Schizosaccharomyces pombe: one gene and its partners. The protein of the gene in region 2 interacts with the protein of the main gene of each other region in a biochemical or structural test. Each region holds a gene or a part of one and is shown on either strand. Other genes may lie near its edges.

The links.
Region 1: of the proteins of dsk1 (region 2) and prp2, one has a biochemical effect on the other in vitro, tested with the Schizosaccharomyces pombe proteins (4 studies listed by BioGRID).
Region 3: of the proteins of dsk1 (region 2) and asf1, one has a biochemical effect on the other in vitro, tested with the Schizosaccharomyces pombe proteins (one study listed by BioGRID).

Annotation. Positions count from the first base shown.
Region 1 is NC_003423.3:1,010,274-1,017,781, reverse strand, and holds prp2 (U2 small nuclear RNA auxiliary factor small subunit, U2AF-59), read right to left. Parts: upstream 4,473-7,508; 5' UTR 4,228-4,472; coding exon 2,674-4,227; 3' UTR 2,603-2,673; downstream 1-2,602. Other genes in the region: lsd1 (histone demethylase SWIRM1), read left to right, coding at 1-1,782; tif1102 (translation initiation factor eIF1A-like), read left to right, coding at 2,015-2,313, 2,366-2,450; fan1 (fanconi-associated nuclease 1), read left to right, coding at 5,070-7,181. UniProt on the Schizosaccharomyces pombe protein: Necessary for the splicing of pre-mRNA. The SF1-U2AF59-U2AF23 complex has a role in the recognition of the branch site (5'-UACUAAC-3'), the pyrimidine tract and the 3'-splice site at the 3'-end of introns.
Region 2 is NC_003423.3:823,217-831,958, forward strand, and holds dsk1 (SR protein-specific kinase Dsk1), read right to left. Parts: upstream 4,717-8,742; 5' UTR 4,598-4,716; coding exon 2,963-4,597; 3' UTR 2,532-2,962; coding exon of another isoform or gene 2,029-2,531; 3' UTR 1,973-2,028; coding exon of another isoform or gene 1,849-1,972; 3' UTR 1,784-1,848; coding exon of another isoform or gene 1,658-1,783; 3' UTR 1,589-1,657; downstream 1-1,588. Other genes in the region: lsc1 (Lsk1 associated cyclin), read left to right, coding at 1,158-1,318, 1,363-1,444, 1,658-1,783, 1,849-1,972, 2,029-2,531; SPOM_SPBC530.15C (spermidine family transporter), read right to left, coding at 5,875-7,425. UniProt on the Schizosaccharomyces pombe protein: May play an important role in mitotic control by altering cellular location, degree of phosphorylation and kinase activity. Abundant expression accelerates the exit when cells are in M-phase and also delays the entry into mitosis when cells are in G2.
Region 3 is NC_003421.2:1,640,080-1,647,628, forward strand, and holds asf1 (histone H3-H4 chaperone Asf1), read right to left. Parts: upstream 4,506-7,549; 5' UTR 4,477-4,505; coding exon 3,688-4,476; 3' UTR 2,823-3,687; downstream 1-2,822. Other genes in the region: rpl39 (60S ribosomal protein L39), read left to right, coding at 942-1,097; SPOM_SPCC663.18 (GTPAse-interacting protein), read right to left, coding at 2,511-2,638, 2,687-2,718, 2,755-2,792; osr1 (dehydrogenase), read right to left, coding at 5,036-5,797. UniProt on the Schizosaccharomyces pombe protein: Histone chaperone that facilitates histone deposition and histone exchange and removal during nucleosome assembly and disassembly.

The DNA of each region.
Region 1 (7,508 bases), 190 kb from region 2:
AATGCTTCAGCTAGTAAACAGCCCCTTCATTCGTTGATTACTCCTCCTGAGCAAGAATTCATTCAAAAGCTTGACCAAATTGGTTGGTATATTTCAATTGAAGCCTTTCCTTTACAAATAAAGGACACTTTGTCTGAATTTCTTGGTAATTCGGCTAACACCCTCACTTCTTTATTGCATCTTACTGTTTTAGATTTAAAAATTTTTGAATGGTTTAAGGAATACCTTTCACAATCACTCTCTGTTTCTCTTGAAAATGTTTATCCGGGAAGCATTCCAAACCTGAATTTATTATTAGGTGAAAATGTCGCTTCATATTCCTTCAAACATGGAATGGCGGATATGCTAAACTCCCTTGCTTCAACACCTTCTCCACTTCCAATTCTTTTTGACCAGTGTGTCCATACTGTAAAGCTAGAAGATAATACGGTTAACTTATCATTTGTAAATGAAACAACAGTTTCAGTCGATAAAGTGGTTATATGTATACCTATGGACAAGCTGAATACCCATTTGATTACCTTCGAGCCGCCTCTCGAAGAAAAGAAGCTAAAGGCTATTGATAGATGTCATTTTACCAATGTGAAAAAGGTTATCCTCATTTTTAAAACCCAATTCTGGGAACCAAACATAAGTATATTTGGTTCACTACCACAAGATTCAGGTAGAAACTTTATATTTAACGATTGCACTCGATTTTACGAACATCCCACATTATCAGTCTTTGTGAAGGTTGAAGGGATCGACTTTATGAAGGATGATGATATAGTGAATGGGATTGTATCTCAACTTAAAAAAGTTTATAAACCGAAATCAGAAGCCATAAATCCTATTCGAACGATTATCAGTAACTGGGAGAATAATTCTTATACAAATCACTCATCATATCAAATATCCAATTTGTTTTTGGAAGAGGATTATGCAATATTGTCTGAGCCCATTGACAATACTGTGTTTTTTGCTAGTGAAGCAATTTCCCAAAAAAATTCAGGTTCGATACGCGGCGCATTTGATTCGGGCATACTGGCTGCTAGAGATGTTTTGGCTTCGTTAATAGGCAATGTTGTTTTACCTAACACTCTCGTTATTGAGGAAAACTTGGAACAACCCCGTAAAACGTACGGCACGAAGCGAAATGCTCAACAAGCTTTAGGCAAAGAGGGAGAAAGAGAAAATAAGGAAAAGCGCATTTCATACCATACCGAGTATTTACGCTTGAGACAAAAAAGACTTGATAAAGAACAGCAAGAATGTGATTTACTAATTGCCGAATTATTGGGACCGTCTCCTGTTCCACCATCAAGGCCTAGTGCTAATCCTTACCTTTTGTACCAAAAAACTCAATGGCACGTTTGTAAAACTCTAGCAGATCAGGATAAACAAAGAGTTACTGGCGATCCTGAAGCACGTGCCACAAAAAATGAGATACGTGCAAAATTGGGAAAGACATGGCGAGCCTTGGATAGTTTAGGTAAACAACCATGGGTTGATGAAATTAACGCGAGACGAGCAAATTATTCAACTCGCCTGGAAGAGTATCAACGTCAAATTAATTCCTACAATGTGAGAGTTGCCCAAATTAAATCCGAACATCAGCGAAGATGTGAATCTCAACCAATTCCTGAAGATGAGGCTAAGTTAAAATTACTTGCTGAACAAGAGGACGAACATCTACATCCTGAAAAAGAGGGCATGTCCGTTGAAAATAGTGATGATGATTATCATGATGATTTAGATTATGAGGATTCAATAAGTGAAGTATTCCCTGACAATTTCTCATGAGCTTCATTTAAAGTTTTTTTTTAAGGGTAGTTTATATGAGATAAAGATCAATTTTTACGTTTAAGTTATAATGGTATACTAAATTTTATTTTTTCATAGAAAGGAATGACATTTATGAAATGCATATCATCTTGTAAATCCACTTGTCGAAGCTTCCTAACCACCATAAACCCAATTCTCTACGATTTGCTTGGTTATCACATATATACGAGCTCTTTAGAGAAATACTAATATGTCAAAAAAATATGGCGGTCAAATTTCGTTTGATCCACCAGCTAGGTTGGAAAAAGATCAAGTCGTCGCCAAAGTTGTGCAACTTAAAGGATCTGCGCTTTTTATGGTAGTAGAAAACAATGGACAGGAATTACTTGTTGAGATGCCTCCAAAGTATCGTAATAAAATATGGGTTAGGAGAAATGGGTTTGTAATAGTTGATAAATCTGAGTTTTTAGAGAAGGACAATAAAATTGACGGTACTATATTGTACGTGGTACAAAGCCCTTTAAAAAATTGGAAAAAACAAATTTATTGGTAAGAAATTCTCTTGAAATAACATTAGATGATTGTGCTAACTAGTTTAAAGGCCTAAAGAGTTTGCAGATGAATCGTTAAATCAAAACGATTCTGAGGAAAGCAGCAGTAGCGAGGAAGAATACGATAGTGACTAACAATTTACAAAAAATACATATATTAAGAATCCTTACAACGAACCTTGTAAATTAAACCGATGATAAAAAGCGTATAACGGGAAATGCTTGCAAGAATTACTTCATCCCACAATCGCTCATTACAATTGAGTACTTTGTTACACTTTAAACAATCCAATGAGAAATACTGATATTATTACCCTAACATTAAGATATTATACTAACCTTTTCATTGAAACTGAAATCACCATGCATTAGCTTTATAGCAATCCTCACCATAAAAAGCAATGACAATCGTGCGATCATTAAATTTACAACCTTTCATCTCTTCCATTGCGACCTCTGCAGATCTGATATCGGAGTATCGTACAAAAACCTTTCCAGTTCCTAATCCCGAGTTTCTAGTGCCAATACTACGAGGAATTTTTATATCTATAAGTGGTCCATAATTCGAAAATTGGGTCTTTACAGACTCATATATGTCTTCATATTCTTGTACATCCATAATTTCGTCCCCAGTAATTAAATTATGTAATTGTAAGACTCTAGTTGGAATAGATTGTGATGACGCCTTAGCAAGTTCTGTCAAAATGGCCATTCCATTAGACTTATCTATCATAGCTTGATTGAGACCTACACAAGCAAATTGTGCGTGTAACTTGTTCCCATACGTATCTTTACCATCAAGACCGCTGATAGCTACTTCCGCATCAGAAGGATTTTTAAATTCGCAAAAACAAAAACCCTTCGAAGATCCATCTGCAATATTTTTTATCAATTGAAAGCTTAATAAATCACCGAAAGGCTTAAGTAGCTCCACCACTTGATCTTCGCCTAAATTTAAAGGTAAATTTGAAATGTAAATTTTGTCTTTTGAATCTAAAACGTCGTTCTTGGCATAATCATCACTTCTTTTTTGAGAAACTTCGGGGGTAATTTGAGGGACGATGTAATTTTGAATTCTTTGAAATTTTAAAAAGACATCATTAGAATATGATTCGGACTGAAGCCCCCAGAGGAAGGTGGCATCTTCAGGAGTAGCGACCTCAAGAATAGCAAAGTTTTCTTCTTTACAGACGTTGACAGAGGAGAAATGCTTTGTCTCGGGTTTATGGTATGTAGTTGAAATAAATAGATCTTCGATAAATGATACAAAAGCATCTTCAACGAATTCGTTAGGAATTCCAGTAACCACTAGTCGACGAGCCTGTCTGCTAGCACCTGGTTGTAAGGGCGGAGGGGGAGCAATAATACTTCCTTCCGCAGAGCGAGCAAATTCTAGCAATTTCTCTGGATCAGTAACTGCAGCTCTAGGAGCGCCTGGCAAAGGAAAAACACCAGACATTTTCGCCTGGTCAGCAGTAACCAATTCATAACCAGGTGGTTTAATGTCCCATAAAGAGCGCTTCCTTTTCCACTGATTTATTGGTGTTACATCTCTCAATTGTTCGAGTTCCTGTTCGATAGACCTTACGCTTCTTTCTCGGCTGGGAGGTGGACTTCTACTTCTTCCGACAGATGAATAACGTAATGATCGAGGCTCATAATCATCATATCTTCTTTCTCTTCTTGGCCTCTCATCCTCTCGATAACTTCTTTCACGAGATTCTCTATGTCTACGAAAATCACTTTCGTCTCGGCGACGTCTTCTAGGTCGTTCAGAGCCATAATGGCCTCTCGGGTCTTCCCTTCCTATCCCACCCGAACCTCTTTCTCGTCTAGGTTCTTCATCGCGATAATCTCTGTGTCGCTTGGGTATCCGTGAAGAACCTGATGATAATCTGGAAGACAAATCCATGTTAGTGAATGAATATGAGGCTATTTAAAAAATTATTCAAAAAAGAAGGGAGGGAAGAAATTCGTTTATTAAAATGAACTCTTAAATTCTCCGGAAAAAACTTTGATGAAAGTAGGGAATACAAAAGTACAAATTCTAATGAAATGATATGCGCGTCAATGCTCTTGGATTCCTTGCTAAAAAAAATTTATAACATGAACAATAATAATTAACTTATTTTTTCTTTATGTGATACGCCCAAGGTTAGTCAAAAGTTTCGACTTACTAAGTTAAGGTAGTGAGAGTTTGTAGTAACTTCGCCAGCGTCGTAATTTTAAGCACAACGTTGTTGACTTACATTTTCTTTTTAGTTTCAAATAGCAACTTTCGCTAAACTTGCATTATAGACAACACTGTAACTTACGAATGCAGTTAAATTTTCAAAAGCATTTATTTAAACTGTTGTCCTTACCCTAGTACCATTCTCCTAAGTTTTAACGAATTTTTCTCTTTTGACCATAGTATTTGATTGTATGGCTTTCTTTTAAAGCAATCTTTAAAAATTTACAGCTGCCATGAAATTCAATAATTTTCGTTTTTTTTTTGCCAGTACATCCACGATAGATTTAATGTTTGTCTCATTTTATCCTTGAAATCCATGCTCTTAAATTGTATGTTCAATCTTTTAAAAATTTACTTTATTACACAAGAAGACGTTTACATTCATTCAAAATTTATTATTATTTATTTTCATACTAGCTTTCCATTGTTGTAAAAGCCGCTCTTTTTTTTAAATATTTGTTTACTTACGGCCATCATCTTGTGCACTTATTCAGTCGCGCTGCTGTGATATCTAAAAATTCATGAAACGATTCTTTAATGAAGCGTGCGACATAAACACTCCAGATAAATCTGGGGTAAACGAGAACAAGTTATGTTTCCCTCCCTTAAAAGTTGTATGTCAAGCACCAGAGACAACAGTTAAAGGACAAGTTGCCAATACTAATAAGCACAATGTATATTCTACTAAAAATTCAATGTATCTGCTGGGGTTCGAAGAAATCCTAAACACCGTCCTCGATTGTGAACCGCATATCTTTACTGATGATGAGTTGAGGGTTATTGAAAACTTTAAAGCTTTAGACTCGGATGAACGGTACTTGTTTGTTCGTCTATTCATGCGTAAAAGAAATAAATGGTTCCGCGTGGGCCATTTGACTTATCCAGATTGCAAGGATGTTATTGCCTGCTGTAAGCAGCTTGTTCTGAAAAATTTTTTTGAAGATGAATCACTCATGTCAACTGAAGAAATAATTGAAATTCTATCTCTCGATGAATTGCGTTCGTTAGCTAGACAAACGAAGGTGTGTGGAAAAAGCAGGTCTGAAATTTCAAAAGAAATCATTTTCCTATCTAAAAGACAATCAGTACTACATTGTAATGGTCAACAATTTTTGTCCTTTGATGCTTTTGGTGTGATGCATAAGCAAGAGTCGTTTCTTCGGAAGCAACTATTATATCAATGCAAATCCTGTGTGAAACCAAAGAAAATTTTAGTAGACCTATTTCATCGAATTAATATTGTGTACTTTCGTTCGTCCATTTATGATGAACAATCGCTTACGTCTTTAATATTAGCACGCCTTAACAAATTTTCCTACCCGAATTACGTTTTATCGCGAACTTCAAACGTCTTTAATTGTCGTGCTCAATGCCTTGAATACGTTGAGGTTTTAGAACTTTCAAAAAACTTGGTTCCAATCTTTGAAAACACTGCCGCTTCGGATAAGGAAGCACTCGAACAAGCGTTGAACAGTTTTTTTGAAATATATCCTATATGGTCGACATATCTAAATGAAGACATTAGGGAATTTTGGGTGGAAGAAAATAGAAAAGTAGATACTCGATTGGTAAGGTTTTCTTTTAGCTTTCGTCCTGGTGCTGTTTACACATACTTAATACATAAAAGTCTAAATATTCTCGCGAAGTCGCGATTAGTTGAGGTTGAACATGAAATATTAGATACCCTTTTATCTCAAAATATATATTTGGTGGGTAAAAGAGGACATTGGTATAATAGAAAAGCCTTACTGGAATACAACTTTAAAACTGAGGATACTAACGTTTTGCGTTATTGGAAAACGCTTGCTTTATCAACTTGTGAAAATGGTATTGAAGACAAGTATACCCACCTCAGATATTACTTTAGCTTACAAAGGAGACTTGTTCGCTTACGGAAGTGTTTAAAAGTCTCTAATACTACCGAATTAAAAAGCATGAAACTTATAAATAATAATCCTTCAAGACTTTTTCTTCATGGTGAACGAATACATAACGGTGACCTTTCAAACCGGACTGTTTGGCGTAGCAAGACTAATAATGCTATCACAGTTGAAGAGCTTGCTCTTCAACATTATCAATCGATTGGGTGGGAAGGTATACATGCTGAAAGCAGCATTTTGCTAACTTTGTTTGCTTTGACATTCTGGGATATTTTGTTTGAGGACGTTCCTGGTGTTTTTCAATCTCCGTTTCAAAGTGCACCTTTGGATTTGCACACTGATTCCTTTTATATATCTAGAGAATCGACAATCATGAAAAGACTTGAGGAAATAAGAAATGGGAAAGCTGGCCTAATTATAAAAGATAATTATATCAGAGAGCACCAAAGAAAAACATTTTGTGTAGGTCTTAATTGGTCGTATACTTGCGAAATGCTTCTTGAAATTGTCGATTGTATCAACGATAATGGACTCGCCCAAATATTTCTTGCTTTGACCCAAGATTATAAAAATAGTTCTAGCGGGATACCTGATTTATGTTTGTGGAATCCGTCTAAAAAAAAATTTATGTTTTCAGAAGTTAAAAGCGATAATGATAGGCTCTCAGAAGCGCAAAAATTCTGGATATCATTACTAATATCCAGTGAAGTTGATGTTGAAGTTTGTCATGTCTCCATGCACAAAAAAAAATAAAAAACGTGATTGTTAATCTTTTCATTAAATGCATAGCTTATGTAAATTACACTTTGCTTGCTGAATTACCATCGTTTTGCCAAGGAGAATAACTTAGTCATTTCTCATTTTAGAAATGTTGATTGATTTTGAATGGATTAAGTATATAATATGCAACTTATTGGACTGAATTCACATATTCTATTCCAGTATATAATTAAGTTTCAACCCATGTTTTCATGCTGTATACCAATTTGTTTAAAATCACATTCATAATCAAGTAGGATTTTTAATGATACATTGCTTTTTAATCAGTTTAAAGTGAAATAGAACTTACGTTTATCAATG
Region 2 (8,742 bases):
CTAAGCTTTTATCTAAGCGAAAGTTTAAAGTTGTAATATATAAGTATGTATTAGACAATTGAAGTGTGAGATCAATTACAAAAATTGAAACAGAACTTTGCACAGGTATTTTTCAAGATGAAATTTGTATACTTCATCTACTTTTTGGATATTTTTAAATTCTCAAAAGGCAGTGTCTGGATTTGCAGAAATTGTGAACGATCTTTTTATCTGAAATGTTTGGAATAGAAAATAACCCTAAGAGATTAAAAAAATGCATATGACAACACTCAAATGGTTCAATTCTATGATTTATTTATTATTAAAATTACCATCCTAAAATTGAATCCTGGTATCACCATAAAATTATTCAGTTGTGGGCCTTTCTCATGTACTAAGCATGGTAAATTATCATTAATAAAGAAGTGAAAATACATATCTTCTTGTGCAGCAGAATTTAAATTATAATGAACGTAAAAATTGCTGAAATAATGAAGCAATGTATAGTATAAATAATTAAAAGATATTATCATCCTATATCTACTAGTTTAATAAGAAAAAAAATAAGAGAGTTTCACTTTAAAAGATTGAAAGGAAAGCTTTCAGGAAATGTTTGGCGTTTATAATCGCAAAAATTAATTAGTTAATAAGAATATGCAAAATGATAGAATTATTAGGAAAATATGAATTTATTAGATGTTTAATGTTTTCTTATGATAGCTCAATTTGACGAAATGTCTGTTTCATTAGACAAAAAAAAATGCAAAAAATATTTTAATTAACAGACAAATTGGCGTGAAGGTCATAGCGTCTCTATTCCTTACTTAAATAACTAATTTACTAAAATCATGTTGTAGTGTAGGAGTTCGCTACTTTCAGAAATTAAACGACGAACACTCCGAAGGTTAAACAATCATTTTATTTTAGAAATGAGTAATTTCATAACTCTTTTACAATAGCACGCAGGACTGTCATAATTTACAAATTCAATAACTGCGAACATTTCCATGATAATTTCGAGCTGCAATTGCTGAATTAAAATTATTTTATTTTAATTGATTTACAGTATACAACATGATAAAATGCGTTACTTAAAAGGAATCGCTTAACTTCAGCATACTTGCACCTTGCAGGTAAAGCCAGGCCTTCACAAACCCAGCACCATTTTAGCTGCTAAAATGGCAGAAAATGAGAATCATGTACTTTCAATACGAATGTCACACCCATACTATTCAGAAAAAGAAATAAGTCGAATTTTGTCGACGCGAGATCCCAAAGAAAATAATTTGCGAATGCAGGCGTTCGCTTGGATATCAACACTTTCAAAAACTTTAAAATTGTATGCTTTTCCTCAAAATTATCTAGAATCTAACTTTTTTTTAGCCCTGTAAGGACCAGCGGCCTTGCAATGCTTTTATACAGTCGTTTCCAACTATTTTTTCCCGTGAATGAAATTCCTTTGCTGGTATGTTATTTGGATGTCTTTCGCACATGAGTATGCTGTGCTATTTGAAATTTTACGTATTCTGATATAAGAATATTCTGAATGCTGTACATTGGTCATACTATTAAAAAAGACTACAGTTTTTAATAATGTTAGCTCAGCTACTCCAAGTTATAAACATCATATTCTCTTGATTTAGGCTCTTTTTCTTTCAAAAATAACTAACACATTTAGGAGTGCGCTACTGCTTGCTTAGTAGTTGCTAGTAAAATCGAAGATACGGCCAAAAAGTTTCGTGATATTCTTTTAGCACATTATCTTCAAAAGCATCCAGGTTCTGAGGTCGATGCTCATTCACAAGTATGTTACAAGGTGCGCAATAATTGTTTTTTGTTTATAAGGAGACTTGCTTACAGGTGTATTAGCTAATCGAAGAGAACAAGAAGAGGATTCTAGGTTTAGAAAGAATGACACTGGAATTGATTTGTTTCGATTTTCGAGTCCGACATCCACACAATTACATGGTAAAATTTGCAAAATCACTGAAATGTATGACTGCTATTCATTTTACCTTATAATTTTCGAGTTAACTAATTTACTTTCAGTTTCATCTTCCACGGCAAGTATAGCTTGGAATGTCTGCACTGATGCTTATAAAACATACACAATGTTAAAATATCCAGCCCATATTGTTGCCGTCGCATCGATTTCTATTGCTTGCAAGTTACAGCAACTTCCTCAACCTATAATTCCCAGATCGTTCTTCGCTCCACCAGCACTAACGGAAGCAGTGATTGCGGATATACTCGATCTATATATGCATTATCAGCCTCACACTTGCATTGGTAATATGTATACAACGGAAAAATTACTTGGATTATGTGTTGACTTCCAACGAGCCCAAAAAAACTCTGGCCGTCCTCAAAAACCACCCCAAATTGACCCTCATTCTTCTTCTTTAGCAGATGAATACCGTGAGTCAAATAAGAGACTTCAAGAATCCAAAGAAAGTTGTGCCAGATTTATTTTAGACTGCGATAGAAAGTATTTTAATACCGAATTTGAAAAACGAATGCTGGAAGAAAGGAGAAATAAAGGTACGGTTTAATCTAATGGTTCCTTAATGAGTTATCTTACCATCGGTTTGTTCCTTCTTTCGACAGCATTCTGAACAGTATATTAATATGTGACATTACAAGTTACCAATTTCCAATTAACTTCCTTTTGAATGACAAAACTTTATTTTATGCGTTTTCTAAACATAATATGATTTAAAAAGCAGCTGACCTAAACCCTGCTATATCTTAAATATTCATTAAGTAAAAGGAAATTTCGTTCAAATTTCAGTGCAGTAAATGTTGATCAAAAGAAGGAATCGTGATAATCATACGTAACCCATTTCAGAGTGAAAGGTGTCATGCTTTTTTAAAGCAATCACGCTAATGGTGGGAAATTAAAAAAGGGACGATATCGCAAAAAAAAACTATATATAAAAAAAAATCATTTACTAGCGCTTCAAAACCAATATCAAGGTAAACACTAACGAATTTCAGTAGCCCATCCGGGTACATCTTCACCGGTTGCTCCAGTAGTCTCGATTTTGAACGTAGGATCAGCCACTTCGCGCAACCATGGAGAATTGCTCATGTAACCAGCATTGGTTCGCTTGGCAGGATCAAAACATAACATAGGAGATAAAAAGTCTGATATTTGTTGAGCCAACTCGGCTGAAAAATGGTATTTTTGCTCCAAAACATCTTTTAAAGGCCAAAACTTCAATTTATGAATATTTCGGAGTTCACCGCGACGGTTAAATAAATCGCGGGAGTGCTTTCCTGAAAGTGCCATTTGCTTAGGATAATTAACCAATAACTCAATAATTTGGGCAATGTGGTCATCCTCCTTAGAATAAGAATTCCCATTCCGTGGATCGAAAAGGTAATCGCCGGTTAGCAATTCAAAAATGATACAGGCAAAACTCCAGCAATCAGCGGAAGCTCCCCAGCGACATCCTAGAATTACTTCTGGAGACCTATACTGACGGGTTTGCACATCGTTGGTGAAATGCTTCCGTGTCCAGCACGCGTTACCGAGATCGGCAATTTTAACAGTGATTTTTGGAACGGGTTCCTGAGAACCGTTAACACCATCAAGTATAAGAGAATTATCTCCACTAGAAAACGGAGAATTAGGATGAGAATTATGCTTTTGAGAGTCACGAAGGCTGATTTCTGAAACAGCACCTTCTAATGAAGGAAAGCGGCTCAAAGTGGAAGTAAAAGGACTGCTAGGAATGACCTGGCCAGCAGGCTTAGAATTCTTAGTTGGATTTTTTGCAAATGTCTTGCGTTCTTGGGCAGAGTTATCTACAGATTGGCCACGTTTAATAATTGGAGCTTTGGCTGTATAACCAGTGTTATTTCTTGTTTTTGAAGAAGAGGTATTAGAAGTGGGGGAGGAAGTTGTTGCAGGTGCCTCAATATGTTGCAAGGCATCCTGATCAATGCATATTAAAACATTTTCGGGTTTAAGATCAGTATGAATGATCCCGCATTCTCGATGCAAGTAATCCAGAGCGATGAGTAATTGGTAGGCAATTTGCTTTACAATACCCACAGGTACTCCTCGATGGCCGTATGACTGTATCAAACTTAAAAGATTCTCACCGAGAACTTCGAATACCATACAGACATGAGCTCCATTAGGACCACGATGCACAAAATAATCGAGCAAAGAAATGATATGCTTTTTGCCCAAATGCTTTTCGTCCCCTTCTCTAATTTTCTGCAAAATGCGAATTTCATCAATTGAGGTCTCTCGATAGTGCTCTGCTGAACGCACCACCTTCAAAGCTACTCTCCGTTTGGCAGCTCGATCATATGCAAGCCAAACCGTTGAAAAATGTCCCCAGCCTAATTTTCTTTCAACGACATATCGACGGTGATGAAATTCTTCACCAATGTAGACTGGGTGGTATCCACCATAGTGATAGTCCTCTGCATTTTCTTCGTGCGTTTTTACCTTTTCCACCATGCTTTTTCCGTCTACTTCAGCATTGACCTTTTTATTAACATTTTTTCCATTCGTGATCACCTTTTCACTGACATGGTCAACTATTTCAGTGTGTCCCGGTTGTGACACTTTCGGTGACAAACTCGACCCGTCACTTCCCATTTCAAAATGGCTGGCTGCCCCGTATGAAGAAACTACTGATATGTCCCTCCAGCTCTTAAATTAAAATATCTGAGATATGTGAATACACCAATTCCTTCGTTGTTGTTGTTGTTTGTTCTGGTTATAAATACGGTATGGAGTAGTATTTTTAGTGCGAAAATCAACACGGGGAAACACCGTGGAGTCTTAGCACACTACCGAGGAAACTTTGCGCATTAGGAAGAGCGTTTCGATATAGTAAATAACAAAAAATGGGAAAATGGTTTACTAATTATTTTACGCCAGTAGGAGAAGCCACCTTTACACTCCGTTACTGTACCATAAATATTTTAATAATACTACTTAAAAATCCGTATATATGAATACCAATGACTAAGGCATCACTAAAAATATCAGCAGTTGATAGAATATGAACCCCCTGCGCTTTCATCCCATCGCTATCCCTTACTAACTACTTTTACCGAAGTAGCCCAGCCGTTAGAATTCCATAAGATGTGTTAAGGTCTTCCAAATTTATATCGTTATCCATTATAACTGTATCCCATTCAGCTCTTAGATCTCGACAGGATAGCTAGAAAAAATGTAAACAATTCTTGAGTCGTTGAAAAGAGGGATATTTAAGATCTGTTTTCTCTCTCAACATACGGCGTTCTTAAAATGAAAATTCTCAGATAATGTTCTAGCTTTACGGCATTCACACCTACGGCCCGAGATCTACTACCTACTCACACTAACCGTGATTCTACGGGCAAGACCTGGACTCGAAAACATTCAATTACATTGATAAAAACGGGATATAATAAATTGACAAGTATGGCCTGTGCTAACAGTTATTTTTGTTGAGGTCTTAGCAATGTATTATGGTAAACGGAAATCATATGTAAGGTTCATAACCAACCAATAAATATAAATGTCTATTTGAAAGGTACTTTTTTTGTGATGATCAGAAACATAAAGGAAACGGAGATCAACAAAAGTAATCATTGAGGATGATGAATTATTAAAGAAGTCACAAAAAGACAAAAGAAAGAGGCAGCGGGTAATAGAGATCATTTAAAACAAAGTCCATCGTTTCTAAATATCTAAACGGCAGCAAACTGGTTAAATTAACGAAAATAACAATAACAACAAGTAAATGCTGAGGCCATTAACCCAAGGCAACAAACCGCGGGCATGGTTTCTGAATAAAAAAGATGAATATAACAGAAATAAGAAAAACAAAAACTGGAAAAGAGAGGGTCAAGCAAATCAACTAAAAAGCGGACTTCTATGACGAATTAATCCTTTAGACAGTGCTTGCTCATTTGTCGTAATTTCGGCCCATATAAAAACAACATAAAAGGAACTGGAATAAGCCCAACTGCAACAAATCCGACCAGAGAACCAGCCCAACCAATTCCCAAATTATTGAACATTTGGGTTGTAAAAAGAGGAAATGCCGCGCCAAACGAACTTCTAAGTAATGTATTGGCCGCGATTGCAGAAGCAGAACATCCACTATAACAATCAATGATATAATTGATTGTTTGTTGAAAAATTGTAATGATTCCAAAGCCAATAAAACTACCTGCCAAAGTTGGAACAATCCAATGAATCCATGGATAATTACCAGTCCAAGCAAGCCAAAAGATGCCAATGGGAAAGACAATGCAACCGATCATCATGGAGGGAAGTCGTGCTTCAGGAACAGGTCTTCCTTTATTTTCATCCATCTTTTTAAAATAGTAGGGCTGGAACAGGGCAACGCTAGAGCATCCAATACAAACACCAACAAAAATAGCCAAATACGGAAGAGATTCAACACCCAACCTCCATTTTCGACTCTCCCCAAAAATAACTGGGTATGCTTCAAGTAATCCATAAAGGATACCATATACGAAAGCGGTATAAGTTGAAACCACAAGTAATATGGGCTCAAATATTAAAAGACGGAGAGGAAATGTGAAGTATTTGTGGAAAAAGTATGAGAATTCCAAGGGCTCTTCTTCTGATTTGGCATGTAAGCAATAGTTCCCAGTAAGTACTCTCACCTTGGACGCTCGTATCTCTGTAATTGTGCGGGTATATGTCTCACGGTGAAATATAATCATAGATGTAAATGCTGTGAATCCCATGATTGCAGTAATGTAGGACGTCCATCTCCATCCCAAGTATGATTTTCCAATAAAACCACCAACAATTGGACTCATTAACGGTCCATTAAAAATAATAGCAGAGTAAACTGCAATCACAAGACCACGAGTTCGAGCACTGAACATATCCGAAAAGGAACCAGCGACAGTCGTAATTGGTGAACTACCAAAAAATCCACAAAAGAAACGACAGATCATAACGGTTTGGATATCTTTGGCCGTCGCAACGGCAATATGGAAAATACAGAAGATAAATACAGCAATAATCATTGGTCGTCTACGACCAAATAATTCACACATAGGAGCCCATACAACAGGTCCTGAGGCAAATCCAAGGACGTAAAGACTAATTCCCAGTAAAGCCACCGTGCGACAAACGTGAAATTTGACCATAACCTCGGGTACAGCACCTGAGAAAATAGAAGAACCAAAACCGGCGCACAAACACGCACTGCCCATAACAGCTACGTTACGAAGCTTTTTGGCTAAAGGCCAATTAACAGCCAAGTCAGGGTCATCAGGGCCGTCTAATGTGACTATGAAATCCTGAGGATTGCTAATGACCGGATATTTTTTGAGAGATTCTTCTAATTCCGAAGAGACAGAGGATTGATACCGATCATGATGATTGGATTGCTGTTTTTCAAGGTCGAAGCTAGCACTTTCGCTTGACGATTCTGAAGTACGTTCGGCCATGAGTATAGAGAGATGGGTTTAAACACCTTCGATAATGTTGAATTGAGCGACAAAGGAAGATTAGACAAGCGTGTGCATAGGATATAAAATAATACTATACAACGCTTTTATGATAGTAAAAACTGGATATAGTGAAATCAACCCACTATCCGTATTGAAAGGAAATATGTATAACTTTCAAAATGCAAAAATTGAAATAGAGAAAAGTTGAAAGAAAAAAAAGACAGCACAGCTGTATTTCAATCTAATATCGTATCACAAAAGAGTAAGATACAAAAGAAGGATGAGAAGGAGGTATATGTATATTTTTTAGGTTAATTTCTGTTAGATATACACATGTATATATATTATATATATATGAATTTTATATCACAAACTCCAATCTTTATTTCTTAGATAAAAAAAAATAAAAATTAGCAGCGAAGATCAAATATTTGGAAGACTGGTGAATCAACCAATCTATGGAACATACCACCCTGATTATCAAAAGTAAATCAGACGCAAGCGGTGAAAAAAGAAGAACCGAAGATATCCAAGAACCAATTCTAGTCTGACGGTGTAATTACAGAGAATTTGTTAATACGTTCAGCTATTTCTATTGCACTGACAACAGTATTAAACTTTAACTTCTTAGAATAAGTATTTCTTGAAGAAAGAAGCTAATAGCTCTTTTTAAAGATTAAAACCGACTGGAGACATTCAATGCAACAATTTGCTGCGAAAAGGTTCTGGGGAGATAGCGATATATCGATAGAAAATTTTGTACCCGGACTCTTATATTCCGATTTTGCCAGCAAACTCTGAGCCTGGCTGCAACACACAGTAACGAGATGCGCAAAATATATAAAGCCTAAAATCAGTTTCTATAAGTTTATAAACTATCTGATGCTAATAAGATATTCAACTCTGAGCAATCAATGCCAAACTACCTCAAATAGCGCAAATGCGTTACGGTGTTAGGTTTTGAAATTCGCTTGTCAATCCGTTTTAATAAACGTGGATCCTTTGAACAATCCAATTATATTAGGCAAATGGTATAGCCTTGATTTTTAGTGTCGGTAAAAGGATGTACCTAATCAGCGAAAAACTCAAGACAGGAAAAAAAGTTCCGAGGCTTTGTTTTAGCGTAGATAGTCGAGCAAGCCGTCAGCAATAGACTCGGGAATTTTTCTTTAAAACCTCAGAAAGGTTGCATGAGTTTGTGGTACCGATCGTTATAGTTAGTTTTGTAAGCACACAAAATTTAGTAATGTACTTGTCGCTTAACTTAATACAATGTTTGTTTCTGAAACGATGAACCAGGTTTCAGCTTCCTAA
Region 3 (7,549 bases), on a different chromosome or scaffold from region 2:
ATACCCGACAAGAGCCCTTTTTTTGTCTTTCTGATCAGTAAAAGGGTTTCCATTGTTTAGATTAACTCCCTCATATATCGTTAAGTTATTTCCGAATTTCCTTTATTTAGGTCATGTATACTATTATGCGATGAAGCATGACCAATGCTATTAAATTACTTAATATTTCCTTATTTTGAAAATGGATGTTTGTCGTTTGTCTTCTAGATATGTCTTCATCCATAGTCAGGTTTGTGTTTTATTCCAAAAACTTGTCAATTTCAAGGATTGAATAACAAGGTTACTTTTTAGGCATTATGGCCTTACTAGCAATGTAAGGAATTTTAATGTCTGTGCTATTTAATGTTGTTTGGTCAACTGATTAATTTAATTTGCTAACGTGCAAATAATTGTCTATTTTATCGTAATCGGTACGATGGCATTTTACTCTTACCATTAACTTTGATTCATAATGAATAATGGATTCGTTTTTTGTTTTTTTATTGACCCTCATAAGTACGGATTTCGTAGTTTTTCAAATTGTAAATAGTAGTAACAAAATAGAAGTTTTTTGACTTGGGAACTTCTTTGTACCTCAATGCTTAAAATATGAGCTTCTAGCCCAAATGTAAAATTAATAGCAAGTTTACTTTGATATGATTGAACCAAATATTACTTACTAACACTACTTTCTTGAATGCGTCTGCCTTTTTCTAACAACAAGCTTTTGGACTAACTGAAATATATTTAATTATTTCTTCAGTATCTCAATTCTAGTTTAAATAACGCTCTGACGGCATATTTCACAAAACAGTTTTAACGGTTACTAGCAATATGTACCATAGTATGTTGAAATTATTCCTTAAATCCTACAAAAACCTTCAAAAGACAGTCACAGTTGTGAAAAAAGAGCAGTCACATTCGCTTTAGTTGCGTGGATGCAACACTCTGTCTTCCACAAAATGCCTTCTCACAAGAGTTTCCGTACCAAGCAAAAGCTTGCCAAGGCTGCGCGTCAAAACCGCCCCATTCCTCAATGGATTCGTCTTCGCACCGGAAACACTGTTCATTATAACATGAAGAGAAGACACTGGAGACGTACCAAGTTGAACATCTAAAATGGTATGTCGACAAAATCAACCGACGCCTTTGCTTGTGGAGTAACTGTTTTCTAACTGAGATAGCGTTCGTGTACATGAAGTTATGGATTGCTTTATGCGTATCCTACGTTTTACGTGTGCAAAAATAGAAAATGGATCCATTCTGTTTGAGCGAAAAATTTCTATATAAACGCAATGTATCTGTTGTCTTCAATAACTATGTAAACAGTTCCATGCAAGTCGTAAGGATTGTCGTGTAATATAGTAGAGTTGAATGATCTGTAAATAAAACGATTTTAAGTGTACTTTAATTTTCTAGTAGTTGGTGGCGGCGCGGCCTGACCTGGTAGGAAAAACTTTTGACTTGTAATTGTCGGGATAGATGAGTTTTTGTTTTTATTTAAAGAGCTTGAAAAATTTATACTCATTTCAATTTCGACAAAGTTTGTAAGTTATTTTATTAAAATACTTTGTAACAAATAAAATGACTGCAGGATGATTTGTCCTCCTGCATTGTTTTACGCTACAGGGTTTTTTTAGTACATAGGGTATCAAGAAGCTTTCAACACATCTTAAGTCTACTTGTGTAAGGAAAATATTTACAAATTTAAAACTTGACCAGAAGTAAAAAAAATAAAACAAAAATTTAATGGTAGTCATGCAGAACTTCAATTGAGTATAGATTAGTCAAAAACGAGCTAGCTGTGCTAAAGTTCAGTGCCAGTGACGTTGAGCTTAAAAAATAGAAAATAGAATAGAAAAAGATGAAATGGCAACACATTTGGCAGAATGATGTCCAAGGAAATCGATGGGAACATCAAAGGGTCAGAAACAAGAGAATAAAGCGTGAAGGTGTTCAAAGCCCACCTACCCACTTGCAATGAAGGTTGAGCGAGACGCAATAAGTTTTAAATGATAATTGGAGGGTCTTTCTTTTTTTTTTCTTCGCTCAATGAAAAAGGAGATAAACAAAATTGCAATAATTCATGTCTTTTAATAACGATATTAATTAGACAACTCGAAAAGGTATGTGGGTCGAAAGGCGTGTGGGGAACTCAAGAGGGCAATCAGAAAGTAAAGCCAACGTGTTTTATAATACGATGGGGAAAGCGAGGGATGGATCAATCCAACCAACAGCGACCAGTACAAGGGAATTTCTCTACGTAAAAAAATGCTAAAGGCCGCTAAAGGGCTGATCCATCCAACGGAAAACAAACACTTAAAGTAATCCAGTCATTCGTCCAAAAACTTTTCTGAGAATTCGCAGTTTTAACAGCGTTCTTACGCATCTATCCAAACGAACCTTATTTTTTTTTCTTCTTCATCGAACGAATCATACAAAAAACATCAAAAAAAGCGATTAATCAATTCAATGGTGCATCAACAACTCTTTCTGTACAAGTGTTGCTTCATAAAGAGGGTTAAACGACTTTACTTCTTGGGAACAGTCTGACGATTCTGAAAGGCCATCATGCTGCCGATGTATTGGCACAGATACTCGCTTTCTCGACTAATGTTTTCAGATTCCTGTTTGTTTTGATCGATCTCATCCAACAAAGCTATCAATTGTTAGTCTTTTCTTTCTCCAAAACGCACCGCCATCGTACCTTGCAATTGCTGTTGCAATTCCATCGCTTTCCTATCAATTTAGCAAAGAACTAGCAAAACCACTTACTGCTCCATCAAACTTCTTGGCAAGGAATCTGTACTCATTGAGTAATGCGCTTTTTTTGTTTTTTTGCGGAAAATGGGAGGTTGGGAAGTGTCTTACCAGCGTAGCGTCAATACATGTCATTTCCCATTGCTGTGACTTAGGGGTGTCACTCAATTTAAAGAGGCCACTGCAAGAGACATTATCCTTAATTGAGTTGAGTATTGCTATACGCAATATTTAAATAGCGTTTTATGTCATAATACGTTTTATTAGCGAACGGATTACATTGGAGTACGCAACTGATGGGTCTTGCAATAAACAAATATACATAGGGCGAAAACTAGAATGAGTGCTGCTGTCTTTTGGATGAATAAGTTAAATATGGAACATACTAATAATGGATCCACACATTAATAAACTGGAAAAAGATCCCGTCCCGTAAGGATAAATCGAGGAGAGAAAGCTTGCGTCTGTGCCCTAATTATGTTTTGAAAAACATGAAATGCACACTTCATACACCAGGATGCGAAAGTCTTTCAACAATTTACATGGGAAAAAAAGAAAATAATAATCTAATAGAACTCCGTTCCAAAATATGGAACGTTGGTACAAATGATGCGTTTAGGGCGATTGGAAGAGGCATACAATAGATGCTTCTTCCCTCCATTATGCAACGGAAAGGTCGACGGTTCAAAAATGAATTTAAATAAAAGATGTGTTATGAAAAATGCTTTATGGTAACAGGAAAAAAAATGCTATTCCTCTTTTCCCATTCCATAGTTTTTATTCTCACACTATCACCAGTCATGAATATTTTACATCGAAAAAATAACGGGTAGAGCGATATATATGCGCAAACTAAAAGAGAGTATACAAAAAAGTAATCATGTTCTTTATCGGATTAGTTCTTGTCAATATTAGTATTAGCATTCAAAAAATAGTCCGATTATCATTTTACTGAGACGTCTCTGGTTTCTCCTCAGGTTTCTCTTCCGCAGCTGAAGCATTTGCAAGAGCCGACTCTTCTTCTTCTTCCTCTATATCAATTTCTTCTTCTTCTTCTTCTTCCGATCCTTTCCCATCATTTTCTCCTTCTCCATCACCATCACCTTCTCCATCACCGTCTCCATCGTCTTCCTCCTCCTCCTCCTCATCGCCTTCTCCCTCTTCATCGAATTCTTCCTCCATTTCATCAGCTTCCTCCTCTTCTTCCTCTTCGTCCGCGTCAGGCTGAACTGGTGGAGCATCGTCAAAGTCGGGATTATCCCACTGAATGTTGAATCGAGTCACCCTTGGCTTTTCTGCTAAAATACTGCGCCAGACTTTAGAAATGTCAACCTTGACCTTTTTAATTTCTGCATCGTCCATTTCCTGAAGGTTCAGGCCCTCCATCTCATTGTTGACATAATAACCTACTCGAACAAACTCATTATCCTCATATGCACAAGAGAGTAAAATAACTGTGACACCCAAAACATCGCTGAGTTGAGGTAAAAGATCGATATTAGGAGGATCAGCTTCAAAAACGAATTTATTAATCCCGATTGGTATAGGTCCCACTAGTAGCGTGTCCAAAATTTGGTCGTAACTTTGAGACGTCGCACTACCTACATATGTCAACTTCCATTCCAGGTCGCTTTTTAACGGCTCCAGACATTCAAAGGTAATTTCGAATTTATATGGATCAGAGAACTTTGCCGGATTATTTAGCACATTAACACTAAGGATATTCACGATTGACATTTCGAAGTGAAACGCGTCTAAGCGATTGCCAAGAACAGCGTAGGTGAAGAAAGGTTTCGTAGAGTTCGGATAATTAAGGATACGCTTGACTATTTTATATCGCTTTTCGTGCTCTAAGGTAATAACACCTATTTGATTCAAACATATAAGGATTAAAATGCAGTAAATATAAATACTGAAGGCACATCTAAACAATGCCTCACTATTCGGTAAACAATAGAAAACATAACCATTGTTAAGTATTTTATGCGAAAGTACGAAGAACTTACAGAGCAGTTTAGTTAAACATAACCGTTGTTTAATAAAAATTTCTATTTCATTAATAATGCATGCAATGTACAATTAATATGATCATCAAATTTCATTGTGCAAAAACAACTCGTATGTGAAACATAAAAAATAGACATAACCTCCTTCATCTCTAATTATTAAAAAAGATATACAAGCGGATTAAAACATATATTTAGGGTTATTGTAAGTTCCTTCGATCATTCGGTTATATAATATTGATGCAGCTTAACAGCAAATCCGAATGACTTGTTAATGATGTGAATTTCCATCAGTATGGAATTGTAGTACCATCATAGTTGAAAAAAAATCCATTATTTTCGGGCTTCAAATTGTCTACAACTTTCAACATATCTGAAGCGCTTTGGTCTGGTGCCAAGGCCTGTTTCGCAAAGATATCTAAAATTTCCGGTTTCGCTTCAGCATGCTGATTTACAGCTTCCTGAGCTGAATCGGTTCGAACCATTCCGGGATGAATTGAAATCACTATGAATCCTTCATCTTGTAGCTCAAAACTAATTTCCTTCATTGTAAAATTTAAAGCAGCCTTGGATTGGCCATAACCAGATTGGTTAAATGGGAAGAAAGCACCCATGGATCCAACTAATGATGAAGTAAAAACAATGATTTTAGATTCTCCTTTCTTCACAAGAGGATAAAAGGCTTGGTAGACATGAATTGGTCCTAAAACATTGGTTTTATAGTGAGAGTTCCAGACATCATCAGGAGTATTCAGAACAGTGTTGAAAGAATGAAAAATGCCCGAATTTACCCAAAGAACATCTACTTTACCTACAGCTTTTGCAACTTCTTGAGCGGCTTCATTAGCACTCTCTAGAGAGGAGATATCTAACTTAATAATATGCACATTGGAATGAGACTTGCTCCATTCTTGTAATTCAGTAGCAGCTTCAGGCTTGCGGGCACTTGCAAATACAACTGTTCCTTCTCTGTTGCTCAATTCCTTAACAAGAGAGAGTCCAATGCCTCGATTTCCTCCTGCAATAAAGTAAATTTTGTTGGTAGTAGACATATTCTAACACAATATTTGAATGATCCTTGAATCCGTTTGAAAAGTGTAATTTGGTGTCGGCAATTTATCATTAACTTCGTGCTTATATACCAATTCTTCAAATCATTATGCTTACGTGATTTGAACCGTGAATTTTGATGCTTACATAATTGAATATACTTCCAAAATCAGCAGGTTCATAGTAGTTCACGTAGAGCGTTAGGTGATATTTTGCCATATAATATGGATATTGCAACTAATCTTTATAACCCGTTCCATTGGTTTGTCAGCTGCTTCCTTGATACTGCTTGCATACTGAATAGTATTCCTTTAAATGCACCTTTCTTTTAATTTCCTTGATAAAGTATCATAAAGGGAGAATTTATTTGAAAATTGTTTAATTGATAATGCTGAGACATTGGCCATAGGAGAAAAGCGTTGAATCAGGATACAAAAAAACAACTCTTTTAAACCTTGAAGTCCTTTCACAATAAAAATTATTAAACAAAAAAAACATAGAAATAGAATAATTTTAAGATAAAATATAAGTTTGCAACCGATTTAAGCATTGCTGTATGAACACTTGAATTTTTTATATGCGACGCCCTTCTTTATATATCCAAAGGTTGAATAAAACGTATCAAGATCTAAAACTGCTGAACAATCCAAGTGGCACCTTGGACTCGCTCAAACTTTTTATGCTCGTAAACATTTGTAAGAACATATGAAATTAACAAAAAACAATTGTTTGAACAAATCATACACTGGAATCTAGAGAGCAAAGTACCTTTAAAAGGGGATATCAAAACCGTCATGAGTACGAAAAGATCCACTGTTTTCGGGTTTCAAGTCGTCTACAACCTTTAACATTTGTGCAGCACTTTGATCGGGAGGAATGGAATTTTTTTGAAAGTATTCTAACATGACAGGATGTTGTTTGGAAAAATGCTCACTGGACTCTTTTGACATCTTGGTTTGTACAAGTCCTGGGTGAATTGAAATTACAATAAAGCCTTCATCAGCTAGTTCAAAACTAATTTCCTTCATCGAGCTGCTTTAGACTGACCATAAGCTGAAACAGTTATTGGAAAAAAAGCTCCCATGGATGCTACTGATGATGAAGTAAAGACAATGGTTTTAGACGCTCCTTTTTTCATTAAAGGATAAAAGGCTTGGTAGACATGAATTGGTCCCAAAACATTCGTCTGGTAGTGAGAGTTCCAAACCTCATCAGGAGTTTCTAATACAGAGGAATAAGAGTGATAGATTGCTGAATTTAGCCAGAGAACGTCGACTTTACCCACGATTTTTTCAACCTGCTTGGCGGCATCCTTTTCACTCTCTAGAGAAGTGACATCCAACTTAATAATATGCACATTGGAATGAGACTTGCTCAACTCTTGTAATTCAGTAGCAGCTTCGGGTTTGCGAGCACTCGCAAACACAGTCGTTCCTTCTCTATTGCTTAACTCTTTAACAAGAGAGAGTCCAATACCACGATTCCCGCCTGCGATAAAGAAAATCTTGTCAGCCGAAGACATATTCTATTTTTTGAAGTACTCAGAAAATTCCAAAATTCACGAAAAGACTGAACCCTTAAAGGCTGTTCAGCTATTAACACATTTGATGTTGTTACGTCACTTCAGTCGCATATTTATTGCCTTAAAAGGTCGTCAAAAAGTAGTGAATGTATGGAAACATTGTCGTTAACCGTAAGCTACATTAAAGCATTGCAGTTCATGCCTTCATAGCTATTCAATTATTTACCAGACG